Linked DNA regions of Tamandua tetradactyla. The protein of the gene in region 1 interacts with the protein of each later gene in a pairwise test. Links are inferred from orthologs where the notes say so. Each region holds a gene or a part of one and is shown on either strand. Other genes may lie near its edges.

Evidence for each region.
Region 2: the proteins of PSTPIP1 (region 1) and PCDHB14 interact in binary tests that used the Homo sapiens proteins (3 or more experiments, as listed by UniProt). The two-hybrid records come from large-scale screens. The link is inferred for Tamandua tetradactyla from reciprocal best matches to the Homo sapiens genes PSTPIP1 and PCDHB14.
Region 3: the proteins of PSTPIP1 (region 1) and LSM4 interact in binary tests that used the Homo sapiens proteins (3 or more experiments, as listed by UniProt). The two-hybrid records come from large-scale screens. The link is inferred for Tamandua tetradactyla from reciprocal best matches to the Homo sapiens genes PSTPIP1 and LSM4.

What each region holds. Positions count from the first base shown.
Region 1 is NC_135340.1:89,854,189-89,861,169, reverse strand, and holds the start of PSTPIP1 (proline-serine-threonine phosphatase-interacting protein 1), read left to right. Parts: upstream 1-2,430; 5' UTR 2,431-2,587; coding exon 2,588-2,623; intron 2,624-3,016; coding exon of another isoform or gene 3,017-3,173; intron 3,174-3,331; coding exon of another isoform or gene 3,332-3,666; exon of another isoform or gene 3,667-3,699; intron 3,700-6,981. Other genes in the region: uncharacterized protein LOC143656381, read right to left, coding at 83-141, 3,017-3,173, 3,332-3,666. UniProt on the Homo sapiens protein: Involved in regulation of the actin cytoskeleton. May regulate WAS actin-bundling activity. Bridges the interaction between ABL1 and PTPN18 leading to ABL1 dephosphorylation.
Region 2 is NC_135346.1:21,271,187-21,278,167, reverse strand, and holds the start of PCDHB14 (protocadherin beta-14), read right to left. Parts: upstream 4,938-6,981; 5' UTR 4,728-4,937; coding exon 2,346-4,727; 3' UTR 1-2,345. UniProt on the Homo sapiens protein: Potential calcium-dependent cell-adhesion protein. May be involved in the establishment and maintenance of specific neuronal connections in the brain.
Region 3 is NC_135337.1:96,202,126-96,209,106, reverse strand, and holds the start of LSM4 (U6 snRNA-associated Sm-like protein LSm4), read right to left. Parts: upstream 4,723-6,981; 5' UTR 4,612-4,722; coding exon 4,609-4,611; intron 2,191-4,608; coding exon 2,149-2,190; intron 247-2,148; coding exon 148-246; intron 1-147. UniProt on the Homo sapiens protein: Plays a role in pre-mRNA splicing as component of the U4/U6-U5 tri-snRNP complex that is involved in spliceosome assembly, and as component of the precatalytic spliceosome (spliceosome B complex).

The DNA.
Region 1 (6,981 bases):
CTTCCGGCCAACGAGAGACAAGGGGAGGTCTTCTGGGAGCTTGGAGAAAATGAGACATAAGGGCAGATGCCCCTTTTCTTACTCAAGACATGCCTGGTCTGGAGTTGGAGCCCAGAGCAGTTGTAGCATCTTGGGGACCAGCTGAAAAGGGAGACATAAGGGGGAGAATGGCCAAGAGACTGAGCTGCATTCCTGAGAACACCCCCAGGGGGCGTCCTGCCGCCGGAGCCCTCGGGGGAGGGGGACGGTACAATTCCTCAGTGCCAGGAACCTCACCCCACAGTGAACTTGGAAGACCAGGTGCCAAGGCTGGGCTCTCATCCCCTTAGCACCACCAACCCCCAACAGCCTCCCTGGGCTAGGTTTTCCATCCGTCAGGTGGGGTGACAGGTTCTGGGCACAGCCCTAGAGAAAGGAAGGACAAAACCGTTTGCTAACAGAGACCTGTTGGTGTGAGATAACTGGAGGTGACAGTCCTGGGTTTGGCGGCTGTGAGGCTGAGTCATATAAACTCTGATCACTGGTTTCCTTGGCTGCGAAATGGGGAATAAGAATAGAGAGCGGCCTGCAGGCTTGGGTGAGGAGTGAATGAGGCAGGCCCTGTAAAAAGCTCATTGGTGCACTGCACACACCATCAGGGCTCCAAAGCAGTTGCTGCCTGTTCTGGTTGCCAGCTGCAAAAGGGCAGGGTGGAGGGACCTCTCTCTGCAGAGAACTTTAAAATCTTTCCACTTGTTCCTCCTATCACATCCTCCCCCAGTTGCTCCAGTCCACTGCCAGCAAGCACCCATCGGGGTGGAGCAGAGTCAAAGGGCTCCGGTGCATTGAGGGATGGGAGGGTTTGCCCAGGTAAGGAAGATTGAGGATGGCAGGCCAGAAGGGAGGGCACGATGGAGCAAAGTGTGCGGGTGGGAGAGCAAAGGGTGCCCTTGCGGAGAGAGAGGAGGCCTGAGGGGAGCTGGAGTTTGTGGGAGGCAGTAGGGGCAGGGGAAGGAGGCTGGCTGCAAAGTTTTCTGCCAATAAGAGAGTGGAGGGCTCTCTATGAACAGAGGGTTTCCGGACTACTTTTGGAATTAGAGGTATCATCCCATTTGATGGATGGGGAAACTGAGCCCAGGGAGACTGGGTCAGTGCTAAGAGGGCAATGGTGCATTGGGGCGAGACTCACAGCCTCTGCTGTAGCCTCTGGGGCTCAAGGTGAGGTTTACAATCTTAGCTGTCTCACTGCAAACAACAGAAAACCCCACTGGAGGGTCCTCAGTGCTGAAGCTGATCAGCAGCTCACCCGGCCAGGGGTGTGGAAGGAGGACGTGTCCCAGGTCGGCAGAGCAGCTCCAGCCCCACTGCCCGGCGACTCTTCCCCCCTGCCCGTGCCATGCGTTCTCTCTGGGACATACCCCTGCCCTCCAAAGCCCGGGCCTATGTACCTGGTACTTGGGAGCTTCGCCAAGTCCCCCAGAGCAGTTTCCTCTGTCTTATCATCTGCCTGAGGATTCGTGGAGAACCCCTGACCCATGCCCTCTGCCACTGCCGGGGCTCCGGCCTCCCTGCGGGCATCTCCTGCTGGGTGGGCGGGTGCCGGGTCCTTGGGGCTGAGCCTGGGCTCCAGACCAGGGCTCCTCCCAACACCATACCTGACTCTGCCCCCAGCACCTGCCCCACCATTCCAGAAAATTCCACAAATGCTCTCCAAACTCTGTCCTTTCCAAAGACTGGGGGTGACAGATGAGGAAACTGAGGCCGGGGAATCAGAGAGTGGATGAAGGTCCCTTAGCACTGAAGGGTAGAGCCCAGACAAAACAAACAGGACCGCCACCTGTTTTCAAACTCCCACCCCTGTGTCTTTCTAGTTCTCTCTCTCTGTCTCCTCTCTCTAGACTCCATCTTCAGAAGGGTCTCCATGCCAGGAGAGGGTCTAATCTGCAGACATGGGTGGGTGTGGGGGGGGGGTGGTGAGCAGTCTCATAAGGTCTCAGGCTAGACGCTGCTCACCCCATCTGCTCCCACGTCTGCCCCCCTCCCCGCCCCTCTGGCCCAGCTGGGTCTGTGTCTGGACTATGAGCTCCTTGAGGCCAGGGCTTGGCCGGAGCAGCAGGGTTTGATGACCGATGGCCGGCCTAGGCCCGGGGCGCCCTCCTGAGCGGTGCGCTGGCGACGGCTGGGGAGTCTAGCGTGGCAGGTGGCGGCGGGATGGGCGCGGGGTTGCAGAGCACCGCGCTTCCTGTGGGTGGGGGCCCGGGGGCCCGCCCGGGGGAGGTTGCACAAACCCTCCGGCGCGGCCTCAGCTGCCTGCCCGCCTGGCCCGCGCGCCGCCTCCCCCCGGGGGTGCGCCCGCTCCCCGCCCGGGTCTGCCCCGCGCTGGGTCGCCGCGGATCGCTCGGGGGCGGGGTGCGCCCCGGGACCGCCCTCCCCGCGATGGGCTCCTTCCTCATTTGGCTGCTGATCGTGGCCCGCAGCGAGCAGGTGGCGCCCCTTTCCTCCCTGCAGCACCTCGCCTCGGAGCCGCTGCAGAGCGCGCGGGCTGGGAGGGCTCCGGGGCCGGCACTGGGACAGGGGCGCGGGCACCCCCACCCCGCCGCCAGCCGGGATGACGCCCCAGCTGCAGTTCAGAGACGCCTTTTGGGTGAGTGAAGGCGCCGCGGGCGCGCGCAGGTGGAGACCGCCCGGGGCGCGGGGCGGGGGTCAGGGGGAGGACCCCAGCCCCACCCCCACCCCACCGAAATTTCCCGTGGATGTGGCTTCCGCCGCGGAGCTTTTTCTCATTAAAAAAAAAAAAGCAGGGGCCACCACTTTGTGGTTCTCGTTGTCGTGGCTGTGCCCCGGGTCACCGCCCCGTCTGTGAACGTGGAAGACCCTCTCCACGCCGGCAGGACCTTTTCTAGGAGAGTCTAATGCAGGGGTGCAGGGCTTGAGGGGCGAAGGGGGGATCACAGCTTTGGGGACCGGACAAAAACTTGGGGTCAGATTTTGTCTGTGCAAGACGTCTTTAGAGGTCCCAGAGCCCCGGCTTCCCTACCTGTGCAGAGGCCTGGGAGGAGGGAACGGGGCGATTCTGTGCAATGAAGGCCCAGCCCCCGCTGGCACAACAAGCGGTCCCCGCACGCAGAGCCTCTTCCCTTCGAGGCTTTCGGGCTCCGAGGAGCAGGGGGCTGGGCCCTTCATTGCTCACTTTCCTAAATTCAGCGCAGGCATCAAACAAGTCCTGGCGCCACGGGATTGCGGCACCTGGCCCGCTCCGGCAGGTGACACGGATCACCTGGCCAGCCGGCCCGGGCCGCCCCGCCCCCCGCCCCCCACCCGGCCCCTTCGCTGTTCTGCAGCCGCCGCTCACCCTTCCCCCGGGCCCTGCTGCTCCGCCGTCCTCGGAGGCTCCCGGGGCGGGGGAAGCTGGGGCCTCTGTGGTTTGAGCCGGGAATGTGACTGTCCCAGGAGAGCTCCAGCCCGCCCCTCACAGGGCTCGCTGGCCCTCCCCGGGCCCTTCCCTGGGGCCAGCTGCCAGGAGGGACGGAGCCAGCGGGCCTGGCTGCCTCCCCTTCCGGGCCACGCTGTGCTTAGCGCCCCAGGCTGAGTGAATAGCCTGCTGTCTGCCGGCGCTGGCCGCAGGGCGGGCAGAGGGCCCAGCCCGGGGAGGCCGCCCCGCCTCTCTCTGGACCTCCGTTTACCCATCTCTACAAAGAGGGGGTGGAGCCAGCTCAGAGAAGCTGGTGAAGGCAGCTCTGGCTTCCAAACCCCAGGGTGCTCCCTGCCCAGCTGGCAGCTAAGGGGTGGAGGGACAGGGGGTTCCGGGGACCAGGAAATGAGTCACCATATCGCTGCCCTGGCCCCAGAGTGCAAGGTTGGGGAGAAAAAGGGCCTGGAAATGCAGCAGACCCAGACTGTTCTCTCTAGGAAATCTATCCCAGCCCAGAGTCCCTGAGCCCACCTTCCCTGCGGCAGAACTGGGGCAAGGAGCTGCCCCCAGGGTAGGCTGTGAGCATGGGGAGGGGGGAAGGGGATGTCAGGGAGCAGGGTGTGGCAGCAGCAGCCCCAGCAGCAGCAAGAAATGGGCCCTGGAGGCAGCTTCCTGTGTGGCATCCTGCTTGAGCCCCCCCCTCCCCCGCCAGAGGCTGTGAGCCTCCAGGGGCCTCCTCTCCTCCATGCCGGACTCCCTGGGCCTGGGGTGAGGGTGCCGCCTCCCTAGGGAAGGCCAGAGCAGGGAGGGGGAAAAGAAGAGGCTGGGGGTGGGGGGGGGTACCTCCCATTCCAAGCCTGGGCGCAACCTCAGAAGTCACTGTCAGCACCACCTGCCCCCAAGTTCTGAATTCTAGCACCTCTCCATGATGTTAAGCCTGGCCTGGGATCTGGGATAACAGTAGCATTTCCTGAGCACTATTAATGTGTGAGCTGCTGTTCTCAGGGCTGTGTAGACTTTAACTCAGTCCTCCCAGCACCTGATGGAGTAGCTGCTATTGTTATCCTCATCACTCAGAGGAGGATGTTGAGGCTGAGAGAACCAAAGTCTCTTGTCCCACAGCTAGGATCGGACCCCGCCAGGCTGGCAGTGGTGCTGGGCTCTCAGCTCCCAGACTACCCTCCACCTGGAGATCCTTGGGCCTCAGCACCCACATCCACAAGATGGGGGATAGATTCTCTCTTTCCTTCCTCCCAGAGGGGTAGGAGGGCCCGTCTAGGTGCTTGGAGCATTTACATTTCAGTTGCAATGCAGTGTTTCTGTGGAGTGGGTTAGGGGCAGAGCCCAGCCTGCGGTGCCCCCCAGCCTGAGGCAATGCCATCTCATCCTGCAGCCCGGCAGAGCACTGCTTGACAATCACTAGGCTTTAAATAATGGAAGGAAACCCCTGAAGGAGCGTGTCTCATTCCACAGCACTTCATTTACCACGTGCTTCTGGCCCGAACACAGGGTGAAATTGGGCAAGGAGGAAAGCAAATGTGGTTTCTGAGTCGCCAAACCTGCTGTCCCTAACAGTTTGCATCACCGCTTACTCGTAGAAGCCCCCGGCTTTTGGTCGGGGCCTGTGAACTCTGATTTTCCTTGCAGTTCCAACAAGCTTGGTCGCATAGTCTTTAACCCGCTAAGGCAGCATTCAGGAGGGAGTCTGCACAATATCTGATATGTAGCTGGTGATCATAAATGTTGGGGGACCTGAGCTTCTAGAGGCAATTTCACTAATGACTTATAGTCTGATAGCCAGAAAGGAGATGGAAAAATTGTGAAAAGCAGACATAATGGTTCAGAAGTGGTGGGGCCGTTCAGTGTGGGGGTTCTGTCCCTTAGGAGGCCTGTATTGGAATTTTGTCCGTGCGGCCACACAGTGTTTATCTATAGCCAGCTTTTATCTGCAGCAGGTCAGCGTGGGAGTGAGGTGGAGTGGACTCGAAGCAGGGGGAGGAAAGGAATAATTTGATCTCTGTTATACACAGACAAGTGATAAAGAGTGTCACCGCCTTACAGGAAGTTTGTGGCAGAGCCTCGGAGTGGGGCCTGCCAGCAGGACAAGGATGAGGCTGAGAAGCTCGGGCATCTGAGTGGGAGGGTTTTAGACTAGCGCTTAGTCTAAGGGGCTCGGAAGTCTAGAGGAGACAGAGTCCCAGCAGGCAGCCAAGTGGGGCTGGAAGAAAAGTCTGTCTGCATGCAGAGTGTGTGCTCAGTAAGTGTTTGTGGAGAAGATGAATGAATAGTGGGGGGCCCCGTTTCATGGCCCACCCGCCCTCCTGATCCCATCTTCTCCTTCACTGCACATCAGCTGTGTTCTATACACATTTTTTGAGTTGGGTTCTCTAGCAGGTGGGCCAAGCCATACCCCTGAGCTCACCCCCACATCCAATCCACCAGGGGTTTTCGAGCTCTTTCCAAAGAAGGGCTCTGAACTGTGCCTGCCCCACAGTCTCCCACATCTTCTCAGACCCATATGTCCTTGGGAGAGATGGCATTAGATAATGGTGTTTTTAAAATATTTTTATTGCTAAAACAATGTATGATATATGTTATATTACACAATAAAAAAGTTAAAAACCCAACAACATTCAAACACATTCTTAGTTTACAAACATTTCACACATGGTGTACAATCAATGGCTTACGATATCATCACATACTTATGTATTCATCACCATGATCATTTTTTTGAGCATTTGCATCACTCCAGAAAAAGAAAGAAAAAACTCATACATGCCACACCCCTTACCACTCCCTTTCATTGACCACTAGTATTTCAATCTACTCAATTTATTTTAAACTTTGTTGCCCCTATTATGTCTTTATTTTTTTATCCATATTTTTTATTCATCTGTCCATACCGTAGATAAAAGGAGCATCAGACACAAGGTTTTCACAATCACACAGTCACATTGCAAAAGCTATATCATTACACAATCATCTTCAAGAAACATGGCTACTGGAACACAGCTCTACAGTTTTAGGCACTTCCCTCTAGCCTCTCTAATACACCTTAAACTAAAAAGGGGTTGTCTATATACTGCGTAAGAATAACCTCCAGGATAACCTCTCGATTCTGTTTGAAATCTCTCAGTCGCTGATACTTTATTTTGTCTCATTTCTCTCTTTCCCCTTTTGGTCTAGAAGATTTTCTTAATTCCTTGATGCTGAGTCCCAACTCATTCTAGGATTTCTGTCTCATGTTACCAGGGAGGTTTATACCCCTGGGAGTCATGTCCACGTCGAGGGGGAAGGGCAGTGAGTTTTCTTGTTGTGTTGGCTGAGACAGAGTCACAAAAGAGGTTCTCTGGGGGTGACTCTTTGGCCTAATTTTAAATAGGCTTAGCCTATCCTTTGCAGGGATAAGTTTCATAGGAACAAACCCCAGGATTGAGGGCTTGGCCTATTGATTTGGATGTCCCCACTGCTTGTGAGACTATCAGGCATTCTCCACATGGGGAAGTTGAATTTTCCCTCTTTCTCCCCATTCCCCCAAGGGAACTTTGCAAATACTTCTTTATGCACTGTTTAAATCACTCTAGGAT
Region 2 (6,981 bases), on another chromosome or scaffold:
TTCATAATAGTGAGACCATAGAGTATCTGTCGTTTTGTATCTGGCTAATTTCACTCGGCATAAGATCTACAAAGTTTATCCATGTTGTTACATGTTTCATGACTTTATTGTGCTTTACAGCTGCATAATATTCCATTGTATGTATATACCACAGCTTGTTTAGCCACCCATCCACTGATGGACATTTGGGCCATTTCCATCTCTTGGCACATTCATCAATTTTTGTCTTTATGGTTTGTACTTTTACAGCAGCTTTGCTTAATAAATTCAAACCAATCTTAAGGTCATAAAGTTATATTTGCCTTGATTAATTTTTTTTGTAATTCAAATATTTCAAATTCAGCTCTTAGATCCATATGAAGTTTACTTTTATATGACATGCAATAGGGATTTTTTTCTTATGTAAGCTTTTCCAATAACCTTTGCTAGGTAATCAGTTTTCTCACCAGTGATTTTGACACATCTTCTATGAAGACCAAGTTCTTTTATATAAACAGACTTGACTCTTTATTCTATTCTATATGGTGGTACAACTAGTCTGTTCCTGAATCATTCAAATAGATTTATTTACCTCATATTTGTAATGTGTTCTTATATCTATAGGGTAAGGCATTCCCACTGCTTTATAAAAATTGTCTTAGCTCTTCATGAAATTTTTCTTCTATGTCAATATTAAAAATTGCATTGAATTTATACATTATTTTGGGAAGAATAGATAGGTGTCATGTTAAGTTACTCTGTCAAGAAACCTCTATCTTTCTCAATTTATTCAGTTATTTAATTATTTCATTTAATAATGTATTGACTTCATTTTTTTTCCATAAAGTATTTCTGCATTCTTTGTTAGACTAATTCCTAGAAATATTAGGTTTTGTTACTATTTTAAAATTTCATTTCTAGTTGGGTGATGTTGGGGGAAAAGAAACGATGATCTTAATCCTTTTTTCCATCTCATTTTTTTCTATCTTCTTATTCTATTCTTCCGACTCTTCTTTCTTTCAGCAGTATTTACCCATTAAACCTTCCAGTGACTTTCACGGGTATGATTTTGCTTCTAGTGGTTCCAAGTTATAAAGAGGGCCCAAATATTCTTTTTAAGGATTTTTATTATTTAAATGTCTATTTACATGAAGTTCTCACAACTAGTAAATACTTGTTGCAACACAAACCAGTCAAAATTGCATGAATCAGGGTAAAAAAGATGCCTAAAGAAATCAGAATTTGTTCCATCCACTTCACAATTGCAAGTGCAGTTCCATTTTACTACATCATCTAGTCTGTTTTATTTAGTTTTATGAGAGCACATGCAGAAGTGTATTACACACTAGCCATAAATGCACACTATAGTCCAGTTAGCAAAATCTCTACTACCTATAATCTTCCATTCAATTGCCACTTGTAAATGAGACATTGTAATTTGTCACACAGATGAGTCATATATAACTTGTAAGAAACATTCCATCTTTTAGATATCTGCGTTAGGTCACAAAGTATTAAGGATATTTTATATTCACTCTTCAGAATGAATAGGAAAGTCAGCCTAAGTCATCTTAACAGTTTGGATTTTCAGTTCAATTTTTAAAGAAGTCTTCATCTTGTATTCTTCTAATGAAGGTTATTCATTAGAATGAAATCATGAACTACATTCAGGTTACTTAGTAATAAACAATATAAAATAATAGTAATTTTAAGTTACTAAACATCGTACATTTAAATGAAACAAAATAGCATATAAAGGCCCACAGCATTATAAGACTCCTCCCCTACAACAATAACAACAATAGCAAAAATATGTAAAGAAAAAAATTACATGCTTAACAAATCAATAATTTCCAATTTTATTTCGTTATGAAGTCAGCTCTTACCCATGTATAACAACAAAATGTTCTCCAGTATGGAATATGCAAAGGTAGCATCTCTTTTTTAAATACTTTTTATGGTAAAAACTTCCAGATAACGAATAATGGATAGTATTTTGGAATTTTGCTTTATCTGTGTTTTTTTCTTTATCAATTACACATACTGACATTCATTCTTAAATACTTCAGTATGCATATCCAGTTACTAAGAACATAATCTGACCTAATAACCATATAATTACACAACAAAAATAACAATAGCCCCTTAATACAACCTTTTGAAGCAAGTTAATACAACAACAAAATGCTGATTCATATTTCCATTTCCTCATAGCCACTGATATTTTAAAAATAAATGTAAGGAGAGCAAGAAATGATGACAAATGCAATTATAATACAACCTAAAATCCATTACAGATCAACAAAAAATATCAACAGTTTGCATGCCAAGAAAATTCAAGGATAAAAGTAATTTAAATTTTTGTTTTACTGAATGTTGAATCCAAAACTATTCCGGATGTAGGCGGTTTCCCCCGTATTTTTAACAGGGTCTTGGACTGAGACGTTGGGGATAATTGGCTTCAGAAATTTGAACTCTTCACTTACAGAGTCTCCCATGACGCATACCTCGTACTGGTAGCTCTGCGACAGGGTCCCGGTGCCGCTCACGTCCACCAAGTGCCCGGGAAAGTGGCCCTCGGGCCCCGACGCCGCCCTGGGCCTCGCGCACAGCCGCAGCGCCACGAACAGCAGCACCGAGAGCAGGAAGAGCGACGAGACCGCGGCCAGCGCCACCACCAAGGACACGGTGAGCGAGTCGGCCTGGGCGCGGGCCCGGGCCGCCTCCGGGAGCGGCAGGTAGGGCTGGGAGAAGCCGTCCACCAGCAGCACGTGCAGCGTGGCGGTGGCCGAGCGCGGCGGCTCGCCGTTGTCCCTGACCAGCACGACGAGCCTGTGCCTGGGCGCGTCGCGCTCGCTCAGCAGCCTGGCGGTGCGCACCTCGCCGTTGTGCGCCCACACGCCGAACAGCCCGGGCTCCGTGGCCTTGAGCAGCTGGTAGGACAGCCAGGCGTTCTGGCCCGAGTCGCCGTCCACCGCCACCACCTTGGTCACCAGGTAGCCCGCCTCGGCCGCCCTGGGCACCAGCTCGGTGCAGGGCGCCGAGCCGTTGTGGCGCGGGTAGAGCACCGACGGCGCGTTGTCGTTGTCGTCCAGCACCAGCACGCGCACCAGCGCCTCGCTGCTCAGCGCCGGGGAGCCCGCGTCGGCCGCGCGCACGCGGAACTCGAAGGCCTGCAGGGCCTCGTGGTCCAGGGCCCTGAGCGCGAACAGCTGGCCGTGGTCGGCGCTGACGGAGACGAGGGAGGCCAGGGGCAGCCGCGCGTCCTGGGGCGGCAGCAGCGAGTAGGTGACTTGGGCGTTGGGGCCCGAGTCCCTGTCGGTGGCGCTGACGCTGCCGATGTGCAGGGCGGGGCTGTTGTTCTCGCGGACGTACAGGGTGTAGGAGGTCTGGGTGAAGGTGGGCGCGTTGTCGTTGACGTCGGAGACGCGCACGGTTATGCTGTGCTGGGTTTTCAGCCTGGGGGTCCCCAGGTCGGTGACAGTGATGGTGACGTTGTATTCAGCTGTCGACTCTCTATCCAGTGCTTTTTCAGTAACCAAAGTGAAAAAATTTTTGAAGGTTGGTTTCAGGAAAAAGGGGAGGTCGTCCTGAATAGAGCAAACCGTTCTCCCATTGTCTCCAGAGTCTTGATCACGGACGCTAAAAACAGCGACGAGGGTCTCTGGAGCGTTCTCTGGAATACTGTTTGTAACTGACGACATGGTTACTTCCGGTGGATTGTCATTTATATCTATTACTTTAACCAGAAGGGTGCATTTTTCTGAAAGACCTCCACCATCTGTTGCCTGGATATTTATAGTGTAGGTTTGTATTACTTCAAAATCCAGGTGTGATTTCAAATTAATTTCCCCAGATATTGAATTGATTTCGAATGTTTTGCGAATGTCTTCCGATGCGTGAAAAAATGTGTAAGATATTTTCCCATAATTCCCTGCATCCAGGTCGGTAGCAGAGATGGTGGTAACTCGTGAGCCGGGCGGTGTGTCCTCCGGGACTTGCACCTCATACAGACTCTGAGCAAACTCAGGGGCATTGTCGTTGATGTCCAAGACCTTGATGAGAACCAAGGTTGTCCCAGATCTGGGCGGGGACCCGCCATCCAGCGCTATGAGTGTTAATCTGAACTCAGGCTCCTCCTCGTGATCTAACGCTTTGTCCAGGACCAGCTCTGGGTATATCTTCCCATCACTGCTCTCTCGAATTTTAATGTAGAAATGAGAATTAGAGCTAATTGTGTAGTTTTGGAGACTGTTGCTTCCTACGTCCAAATCTTGAGCACTTTCCATTAGGAATGTGGTTCCAATAGTGGTACTTTCTGATATTTTCAAAAGTATTTCTTTGTCCAGAAATGTAGGGGAATGATCATTTATATCTTTGATGTGCAGCTCAGCCCGGAAAAACTGTAAAGGGTTTTTCATTAACACCTGAAAATGCACAACACAGGGCTCAAAAGAGCCACATAGCTCTTCTCGGTCCAGTTTCTCATTTAAGAGCAAATCCCCAGTCAGCAAATCAAGGTGCAAATGCTTTTTATTATCATCAGACACTACCCGGGCTTCCCGTGAGGACAGCTGGTCTGCTTTCAGCCCCAGGTCCCTTGCCAGATTGGCCACAAAAGAACCAATTTCTGTTTCCTCTGCCACAAAATAACGCCCAGATTCAGGACCTGCCCGAGACAATCCCAACAAAACAAAGAGAATAAGGACTTGCCTTTTCCGCAGAGCCAGCACCCCTCTGGTTTCCATGGTTCCTGCAGGCAACCTCTTGAGTGGGAAAAAAAGACAAAAACAAACACAAAAAAAAACCCTGGAAGGTATATAACCCTCCAGCAGCTCTGTAGGTGAAACTCCACTGATACTCTGTTTTCAGTGGACCCAATGCTCTCTGTTCTCTGTTGAACTTAACATTGAACCCACAGTATCTGCCATGCTTTGTTTTTCATCTTATCCTGCAGCGCCACCATGTGTCTCTACGAATTTTTTTCATTATCAGTTTTTTCTCTTTGAGCAAGTAATTCATAAATACATCTGGCATATTTTAAAACAAATCCTAGACATCATATATTTTACCTCTAAATGTTTCAGTATTCTCTAATAGAAAAGGATTTTTAAAATAGAATCAAGTATCTCTATTTCAACCAACAAATTTAGCAATTACTCCTTAATATACTTAGAATGTTTGATTTTCTCCATTTTCCTCAAAAATGTCTTTCTACTGTTGGTTCGATTGAATGTGATTCCAAACAAGGACAATACACTGCATTTGATTATTGCTTTTTTGAATGCCTGGCAATAAGGATCCATTAAAATGCCCTGGCTAATGGAATGTTTTATTCAGGCCATTTATTGAGTAATCACAAATATTCTCCTATAAATGCTTGTTGAGTTCAGTCATATACAGTTAGTAATGTCATTACTTTTTCATTTTTATGTTTTAAAAACATGTGTAGGTTAAAAATTCAAACATCAGAAAATGGTACACAGTTAAGAAAAAGTCTCTTTCCCTAGGTTGATCCTCAATCTGCTTTCTAAGAGGAAATGCCATGCTCTTTATATTTGTCTATAAAGACCATCTGTGAATCTACCAACTTAAATGTAAGTAAAATCATTTTTCACATTATATCACAATAATACATTAATTTGTGGTATATGTTAAGAGCTATAAAACATGTTCCATGTTCTTCAAAAGCTTATAACATTTTTAAATGAAAACATGGAACAAGTAACAAATAACTGGTAATCTAGACCAGGACTTGTTTCATGGGAAGTGAGTACTTAGGGAAAATGGAGGTGTGCACCCAAGAATACCTATAGTGTATTCCTCTAACTCCTGACAGGTGTTTGTATAGCAAGTGAAATTGAGACTGGCCTTACACAGAGTATATGTGTATTGTTGTTGAAGGGATTGAGAATATTTCCTATGGGAAGCAGAGCATTATATCATTGAAGATATGCAGAGGAGATCCCCTGAGAGCAGGAGAGAGATAAGCAAGACCTAAATATTACCATAATAAGAAATATTATCACAAGAGTATTTAGTTTCCATTTCTGAAAATCTGTGAAATGATTACTTATACATTGTAATTTATTTAGTTGCTAAATTAAGTTGAGCCAAATTTCAGAATAGAATTTGTCCTTGCATAATACCAAAGGCATAATTTTAAATACATTTACTTATATTTCCAATCATCAGATATTCAAATACTTTCTAAGTTTCAAGTCACAAAAATAGCTGTAAGGATATGACATGAAAAAATATAATCCTTGTCTTTATAGGTCTCACAAACTAGAAAAAGTTGACAGGTCAGTAGTTAAGATATGTTATAAATGCATGCATGGGTAAAGAGTAATAGAGAAATACATAGAAAAGATATCTTGCATCTTGGTGGCTGCATCATTATTATAAGGAGCATAGATTCGGAAACTATGCTGTTTTGAAACTGCCATGTATCCCAGAAAAACCACATTCTTCTAATCCAGTCTTGTGGGGGAAGAATCACCACGGGCGATAATAATCTTGATTAGATTATTTCCATGGAGGCGTGGCCCCACCCATTCAAGGTGGGTTTTAACCAGTTTACTGGAATCCTTAAAAGAGTGGACACAGAGAGCTCAGAGCTGGAGATGCTTGGAGGGCCGACACAGAGCAGAGAGATGAAACCAGACACAGATGTTTGGAGAGGCTGAGCAGAGAAATGAAATCCAGAGTTTGCCCCAGAAATGTTAAGAAAGGTTCCACAGATGTTTAGAGAGAAAAACCACTGGAATCAGAAGCTGAAAGCAACGAACCGGGAGCAAGTACCAGATGGTGCCAGCCACGTGCCTTCCCAGCTGACAGAAGTGTTCCAGATGCCAGCTGCCTTTCCTCTGAGAAGGTATCCTCTTGTTGGTACTATAATTTGGACTTTATCATGGATTTAGAATTGTAATTTAATAAATCTCCTTTATAAAAGCCAATCCATTTTTGGTATATTGCATTCCAGCAGCATTAGCAAACCAA
Region 3 (6,981 bases), on another chromosome or scaffold:
AGCCCCTCCGCCCATACTGGGAACCATAGCCCCAAAATGAGGGGAGCGCCCCAAGACATTTCTCAGAGGAGCAGCTTGGGAGGGGAAGGGTCGGGTCCAGGAGCCTGCTGCCAGGGGGGCCCGCTGGGGGCAGACGGGACGGCTCACCCGGGACGTGCAGATGACCTCGCGCAGATTGATGTTCATCCAGTTGTCACAGCTCACCAGGTGCCCGTTGTACGTCTCCCCGTTCTTCAGCTCCACCAGCTGCAGGGACGCCTTTGTCAGGGGAAGGGGCGGCACCCCCGCCCGGAGACCCCAGGAGCCCAGGGACCACAGCTGCCCCCCGCCCCAGCCGTGCTCAGGGGTAACTTTCTGTGTCCTCTATGCTTCCCGGGGCCTGCGCTCCCGCTACCCTGAGAGCGCTGCGTGTGTAGTTAGAACAGAAAACCGTCTCAGAGACCCAGTCCTTGACGAGCGGGCGAGGCCGGAGCCCGGGGACATGCGGCGGCCGGAGTGCAAAGGCGGGCTTGCGGGACGGAGCCGTGTCTGTAGGAGGGACTGCCCATCACTGTGTCGGGGGAAACTCGAAGAGCAGCCACCTGAGTGGGGCCTCTTCAGGAAGGCAGACTAAGAGTGCAGGAAGGGACGCACTGAAACCACACACCGACACTCCGCAAAGGGGCAGGAGGCCCAAGGGCCCGTGCGCAGCGGAGGGCCAAAGCGGAAGAACCCACACACGAGGGGTACGGCTCAGCCGGGACACCCCACAATGGAACCCCCTGGGAGGTTATCTTGGTGGAAAGGGCCAGGCCCAAAAGCCACATGGTGATGCCAAGGGCGGGAGATATTCAGAGCTGCCCCTCCAGAGACCAAGAGGAGGCTGGGAGCTATGGGAGCTGCAGATGGGGGACGGGGTCTCTATTTGGGGGAATGAAACGTTCTGGAACTAGAAGTGGTGGTGGTTGCACAACACTGCAGACACACTAAATGCCGCTGAGTTACTTCAAACAGGTGAACGCACTGAACGTGGACTCAAGTGCCATCAAGCTGTTCCGTATAAAAAAATCTACTTAAGATGGCCAACCAACAAAAGGGACACTGCAGCACAGAGGGCACGGGGTGGACAAGGGCAGGGACAGGGGCCGCAGGAGGGGAAGACAGGACAGCAAGTTCCCATCTCACAGGGGGAGCTGAGGGCTGGCAGGTAGCTGGTGCCAGTAGGGTTGGCTGGGGGGAGAAAGGAAGCCAGCAGGCAAGAGGGGACAGGCGACCCGTCAATCCTGCACCTCAGAATGCGCCCCGAACTGAAAGCTGGGACGTGAACAGACATCCCACAATGGCGTCCACAGCAGCACCGTGCATAACTGCCAAAAGGCGGACGCAACCCAAGTGCCCACACCAGGAGCAGGCAAGCACAATGTGGTAGCACAATGGGCGTGCCGCTAAGCCCAGAAAAGGACGTCCTGGAGCACGCGACAATACGGAAGAGCCTGGGGGGCACTGGGCAGCCTGAAAGCAGCCAGACACATAAGGGCAAGTGCTGTATGACCTCACTTACACGGAAGAATTAGAAGTAAACTCAGAGGCTCAGATCAGGAATAGAGGCTGCGAGGGGACAACCGGGCGCAGGGAGCGGGAGCCAAGGCTTAAAGCTTAGTATAGGGCTCCTACTTGGAGCAATGGGTGCGTTCTGGTGGGGGAGGGAAGGGACAGCAGCACAACCGCAAATGCAATTGACAGCGCTGAGACGTGGACGCGAGCACGGTTTAAGGGAAGTGCAGGGCTGTACGCACGGCAACAGAAAACAGCCGTTCAGGGAAACCCATGCGTCTGCACCCCACAGGCTGTGGTCCCTAAGAGCGGACTACACTGAACTGGTCACCCAAGGAGACGGAGACGCAGGGGGCCCGAGCGGCTCACAGTGAAACGTCCCCTCAACAGCTGTGACTTTACGGACTGTGAATGAAACACCAACGAGAACCCCACAAGTGGAAAGGTCGTGTGACGTGGACAGGTGCCCCACCGAGCACTGAGGACAGAAGCCATCTTGGGCGACATGCCCCCCACGAGCCCATCTGGACACGGCAGAACCGCGGCCCCTGTGTCCACACATATCCAGGCCCGCACAGAGCCTGCGTCACCTCCAACCCCCAAACACGCACTCACCATGGGGTGGTTCTGCGCCGTCTTCAGCAGCGACAGGGGGAGCTGAAAGGCAAGCAGAAGCCGTGATTTGGGCTGCTGGGGCTGCACCTGGGGCAGATCCTACGCCACCCTCATCCCCACCCCACCTGCGTTCCACGGGGTCCCCAGGAGCCAGTCCGTCCCACAGAGCCACCATCTGCTCAACACCCCGGCAGCTCCCGCTGCACCTGCCTCATGGGGACAAGACCCAGGAGCTGGCCCAGGGCTAGAGCCAGGGAGCAGCAAAGCTGCGGCTGACCCCATGCCTGAAGCCAGTGCCACCAAACGCCACGCCAAAGGACAGCCGGGACTGGACCAAAACCCTGCCGGGCCCCGCTGGTGACACCTGAGCTGGGTTTGCAAAGAGGAGAACTCACCAGGTGAGAGGGAACATTCCAGAAAAGCCTGTGGGTATTGCAAATTCACCACAAAGAAAGGATGAGCTCTCTAGAGACATATCCAGATCCACTAAGTACTCAAGATACTCAATTTCTTTTACCATCATTAGAGATCTTTTTTACAGTTACATATATGATTTTTACGATGGGAAAAAAATTAAAGCCAGCTCTTTTCATTGTCGAGACAACAACCACGGAGGGCAGACTGTGGCTCTGTGTGGCGGCTGGTGCACAAGGAAAACGAGAACTGTCTCCCAGGGAGGCTGGAGACTTCCCTGTGACCCGACTTAGCCTCCCCTCCTGAGAAGCTCCCTCCAGGGACACTCTGGGGTCCACAGGACCCTGTTTTTCCAGGTGGGGGGACACGCAGGCCTCTACTGAGGGGAGACGTGGGACTGCCCGGCTATCCCAAGGAACCACCAGGGAAGGCCTGGTGCTAGCAGGAAGCCAGGCCCACGTCCACTTCCTCACCCGGTTTCCTGGAAGGGCAAGATAAGGGGAAAGGACGGCTGCATGGTGTGGGGCCACGCCCAGAACGCCTCTGGGTGGCTTGGGGGAGTCCCCGAGGGAAAAGGGGCCTCAGGCTGGTTTGTGTGGGCTGTACAACAGGTGGGTCATGACCTCCTGAAGCGGGGGCTTGCTCAAGCCTGTTGGACCCAGTCTGGGGAAAGGCCTGGGTGTCCGGTGCAGACCCCGGTTTGCATGTGACCCTGGGAGCACCCGACGGTGACCATGGACATCCTCATACGGTGGACACAACCTCTGCACCCAGGGTCAGGACGGCCCTGGAGGACCCTGCAGCCCCTCCCCACAAAGCAGTGCCTGAGACATCTGCCACGGCCCCCCCAGAGGCTTCTGCTCATCTAGCAGAAAACACTTGCCCTGACCTGCTCCTGTCTGCACACCATGCCCACTCTGCCTGGCGACCTTTGCCCCCATACCTCCCTGGGCGTCCTGATACCGCCCCTGCCCCGGGCCTGTTTCCAGGACAGGACTCAGCCAGTCTCTTCTTCTGTTTATTTATTATAACTCCCTGGCGAGTCCCCTGCTGGCCTGGAAAATTTTAAGGGAGTGTGGACTTGGTCCATACCCAGGGCCTGTCCCTGCCTCACAGATGAGGCGGCGTCAGGACTGGGAGGTGCCCCGGTCAAAGCCGGTCCAGGCCACGACAGAGCCCTCTGCCAGCCTTCCACATTCTCAGCCCCAAACTGCTGGAGAGAAGGCAGGGGTGAGAGACTGGTCCTCAGGGGCGTGACACCCCAGGGAGAGGAAGATGCACCAGATGCCACCAGGAGGAGAAAGGGCCACTCTGGCCCTCCCGTTATGACTGCCATGCAGACCTCAGGCATAAAGCCACGGAGGGCTGGTCCGAGTGGCCTCTCACCCAGGAAGCCTTCCGGGACCCCCACAGGGGGCCGTGATTCCCTTCTCGGGCTCCCCCGGGGCCCAGCCCCGTATGAGGGGAGCGTCTCTATGGGTCTGCTCTGGGAGCACGGAACCTCCCGTAGGGCCAGGAGTCGAGGACCCCGGCGGCCCATTTCCAGGAGATAGCCCTGAACACCCACGCTTCGCACAGGCTCCAAGGAGACACTACAGATGGGAACGAAGGGCGGCCCCACGGGGCTGAGGCCTCGCGGACCCCTCCTCCGGGTCCTGCCGGCCAGCGGGATGCGGCGCAGGTCTCCCCAGCGCGGCGCTGGTTGTACACCGGACCTCGGGCCGGACGGAGAGCGCGCCACGAGCCCTGCGCGGCCTCCCTTCTTCCCCGGTGCGCCGGGACAGGCGGAGCGGAAGCCTGGCCTCGGGCCCTGTTCCCCGGCCCAGGACGGTGCGGGACGGGCCGCGGCGGAGCCTGGAATGCGCCGCACGGCTGAGCGGGGGTGCTCTGCCCGGCCCGCGCTCCCGGCGCGCGGCCGGCCTCAGTTTCCCCGCCTGCGCCGGGGGCGGGGCTCGGGCCCCGAGGCATGCGCGCCCCCGGATCCCCGCGGCCCCGGTCGTCGCGACCCCACTTCCCGGCGAGGCCCCGCCGCCGGCCTGCCCTCACCATGGTGCCAGCGGGGACCCGGCCAGCCAGCCACTTCCGTCGCCGCTCGCGCTCCCGCCGGCTGCCGTTCCGCCGCGCGCCACCAGGCCGAAGAGGAGTGGCGGCGGCGCGAGCCAATCAACACAGGGCCCTGGGCCCGGGTAACCAATCCTCGGGCAGAGCGGCGGCTTCTGGGCACGAGGGCGGGGCGGGGGCGACTTCCCGTCTGAGGAGAAAAGGCTGCGGCCGAAAAGCGCGGCGGCGAGGGCTGCAAAGGGGGGCGGGGCAGCGCGCGGCGGCGCAGGAGGCCTTGTGGTTAGTGACGCATGCGCCGTGCGACGCTCACGCGGGCTCCCGAGCTCCACGTGGTGGGCAGCGGTTGTCACTGCCGGCGGCGGGCGGCTGGGCGGCTGCGGCCCCGGCCCGGGGGGGACAGGAGCGGGCCTGATGGCCCCCATTGTGGTTGTTACTTAATGAGGGCCTTGCGCTGGTTGGAATCCCGACGGCGCCCCTCCGAGCCTCAGTGTACCGCCTGTGAGATAGGGATAATAGTAGCCACTCTACGGGGCGCGGGGAGGACGGATTGCCGGGCCGGGAAAGCGCTCTGCCCGTGGGCGTGCAACCCGTCACCCCCGAGCACCTGCTCCGCCCCTGCTCGTGGAGACGCGGAAATGCTCAAACCTGGCAACCCCCCCTCCTAGGAACCAGTCCCGGGAGCCCGGGGAGCCCGGGGAGCAGGCGGGTGGATTCAGGCCCAGGGCTGCAGGACGGATTCCCGCACACTTGGGGACTTTCATCGCAGTTGGTCTCACAGCTGGGGAGCCCGGAGGCGGGAGGGAGCAGGCCTGCTCCACGCCCCTCTCCCAGCCCCCGGGGGCCGCCGGCCATCCCCCATGTCCTGGCTGCCCCACTTCACGTGGCCTTCTCCCTTTCCTCTCTTGTAAGGACAACTGTCCTGGGGTTTAGGGCGCACGCTAATCCAGGGTGACTCCTGGCAACCCTTAGCTTAGTGACATCTGCAAAGGCCCCATTCCTAAATCAGGCACACGCGCAGGTACCCGAGCCAGGAGGTAGGTGCATCTTGGGGCCACAGCTCAACCCGCAGCACCTGTTACTAAAGAAAAGCAGGGGGGTCTCTGCCCGATGCACCCAATGGCCAACTCCTTCACCGTGAAAGAGAGAATGTGTTGCTAAGCGTGAAGTAGATCAGGAAGTCTATCTCCCCGGGTCTAAGGAGTTGGATATTTTATGGATTCAAATAATGAAAGATGGAGTGTGTTTCGGTTTGCTAAAGCTGCTGAAATGCGATATACCAGAAATGGGTTGGCTTTTGCGACGGGATTTATTAGGTTACAAATTTATGGTTCTAAGGCCGTGAAAATGGCTTCAAGAGAAAGATCCCCAGGGCCACCGTGGCTCAGCAGGCAGACTGCTCGCCTGTCATGCCAGAGGATCCGGGTTCGATTCCCGGTGCCTGCCCATTAAAAAAAAGAGAGAAAGAGAAAGATCCCTTCTCCGAGAAAAGGCTGCTGGCGTGGGGAATTCTTCTTTCATGTGGGAAGGCACGTGATCAGTCTGCTGGTCCATCTCCAAAATGTCTCTGGGCGTTTCTCTCTTAGTTTCTCCTGGGGGGGGGGGTTCTTTCTGAAATCGCCCCCCTGAGCGCTCTTAAAGGACTCCAGTAAAGGATGGAGACCCTTCGGAAATGGGCTTGGGCCACGTCTGAATTAAAGTAGCGTGACCGAAAGGTCACACCACTGTAGGTCTGCTCCACAAGAATGCATTAAAGCAGTGTGTGTCTTTTCTGGGGTACAGAACAGTTATCTTCACAGCAGCGAGTATGAACAATGGCTGGGTCAAGGCCAAAACAATCACAATAGTAAGGGCACACAAAGGCTGGAACGAGTTCAGTCACTTCCAGCAATTTCAGGTATTAACTTTTGGTCATTCTACACCATAGAAGGAAAAAAGCATCAATATAATGATTCAGGAATCATTTACTCATTTTTAAATTCTAGGTTGTATCTCCTTCCTCTTGCTTCTCCATTTCCTCAGTCTTGCGGGATAGCTGGACAAAGACGATTCTAACTTTTTTTTTTTTCTGTTTTTTTAATTTATTTTTAATATTTTTTAATTTTTTTATTTTAACATTTGTTCCCCCTATTATTTGTTTATATTCCATATGTTCTACTCGTCTGTTGACAGGGTAGATGAAAGGAGCATCAGACACAAGGTTTTCACAATCACACAGTCACATTGTGAAAGCTATATCATTATTCAATCATCCTCAAGAAACATGGGTACTGGGACAAACAGCTGTACGTTTTCAGGCAGTTCCCTCCAGCCTCTCCATTACATCTTGAATAACAAGGTGATATCTACTTAATGCGTAAG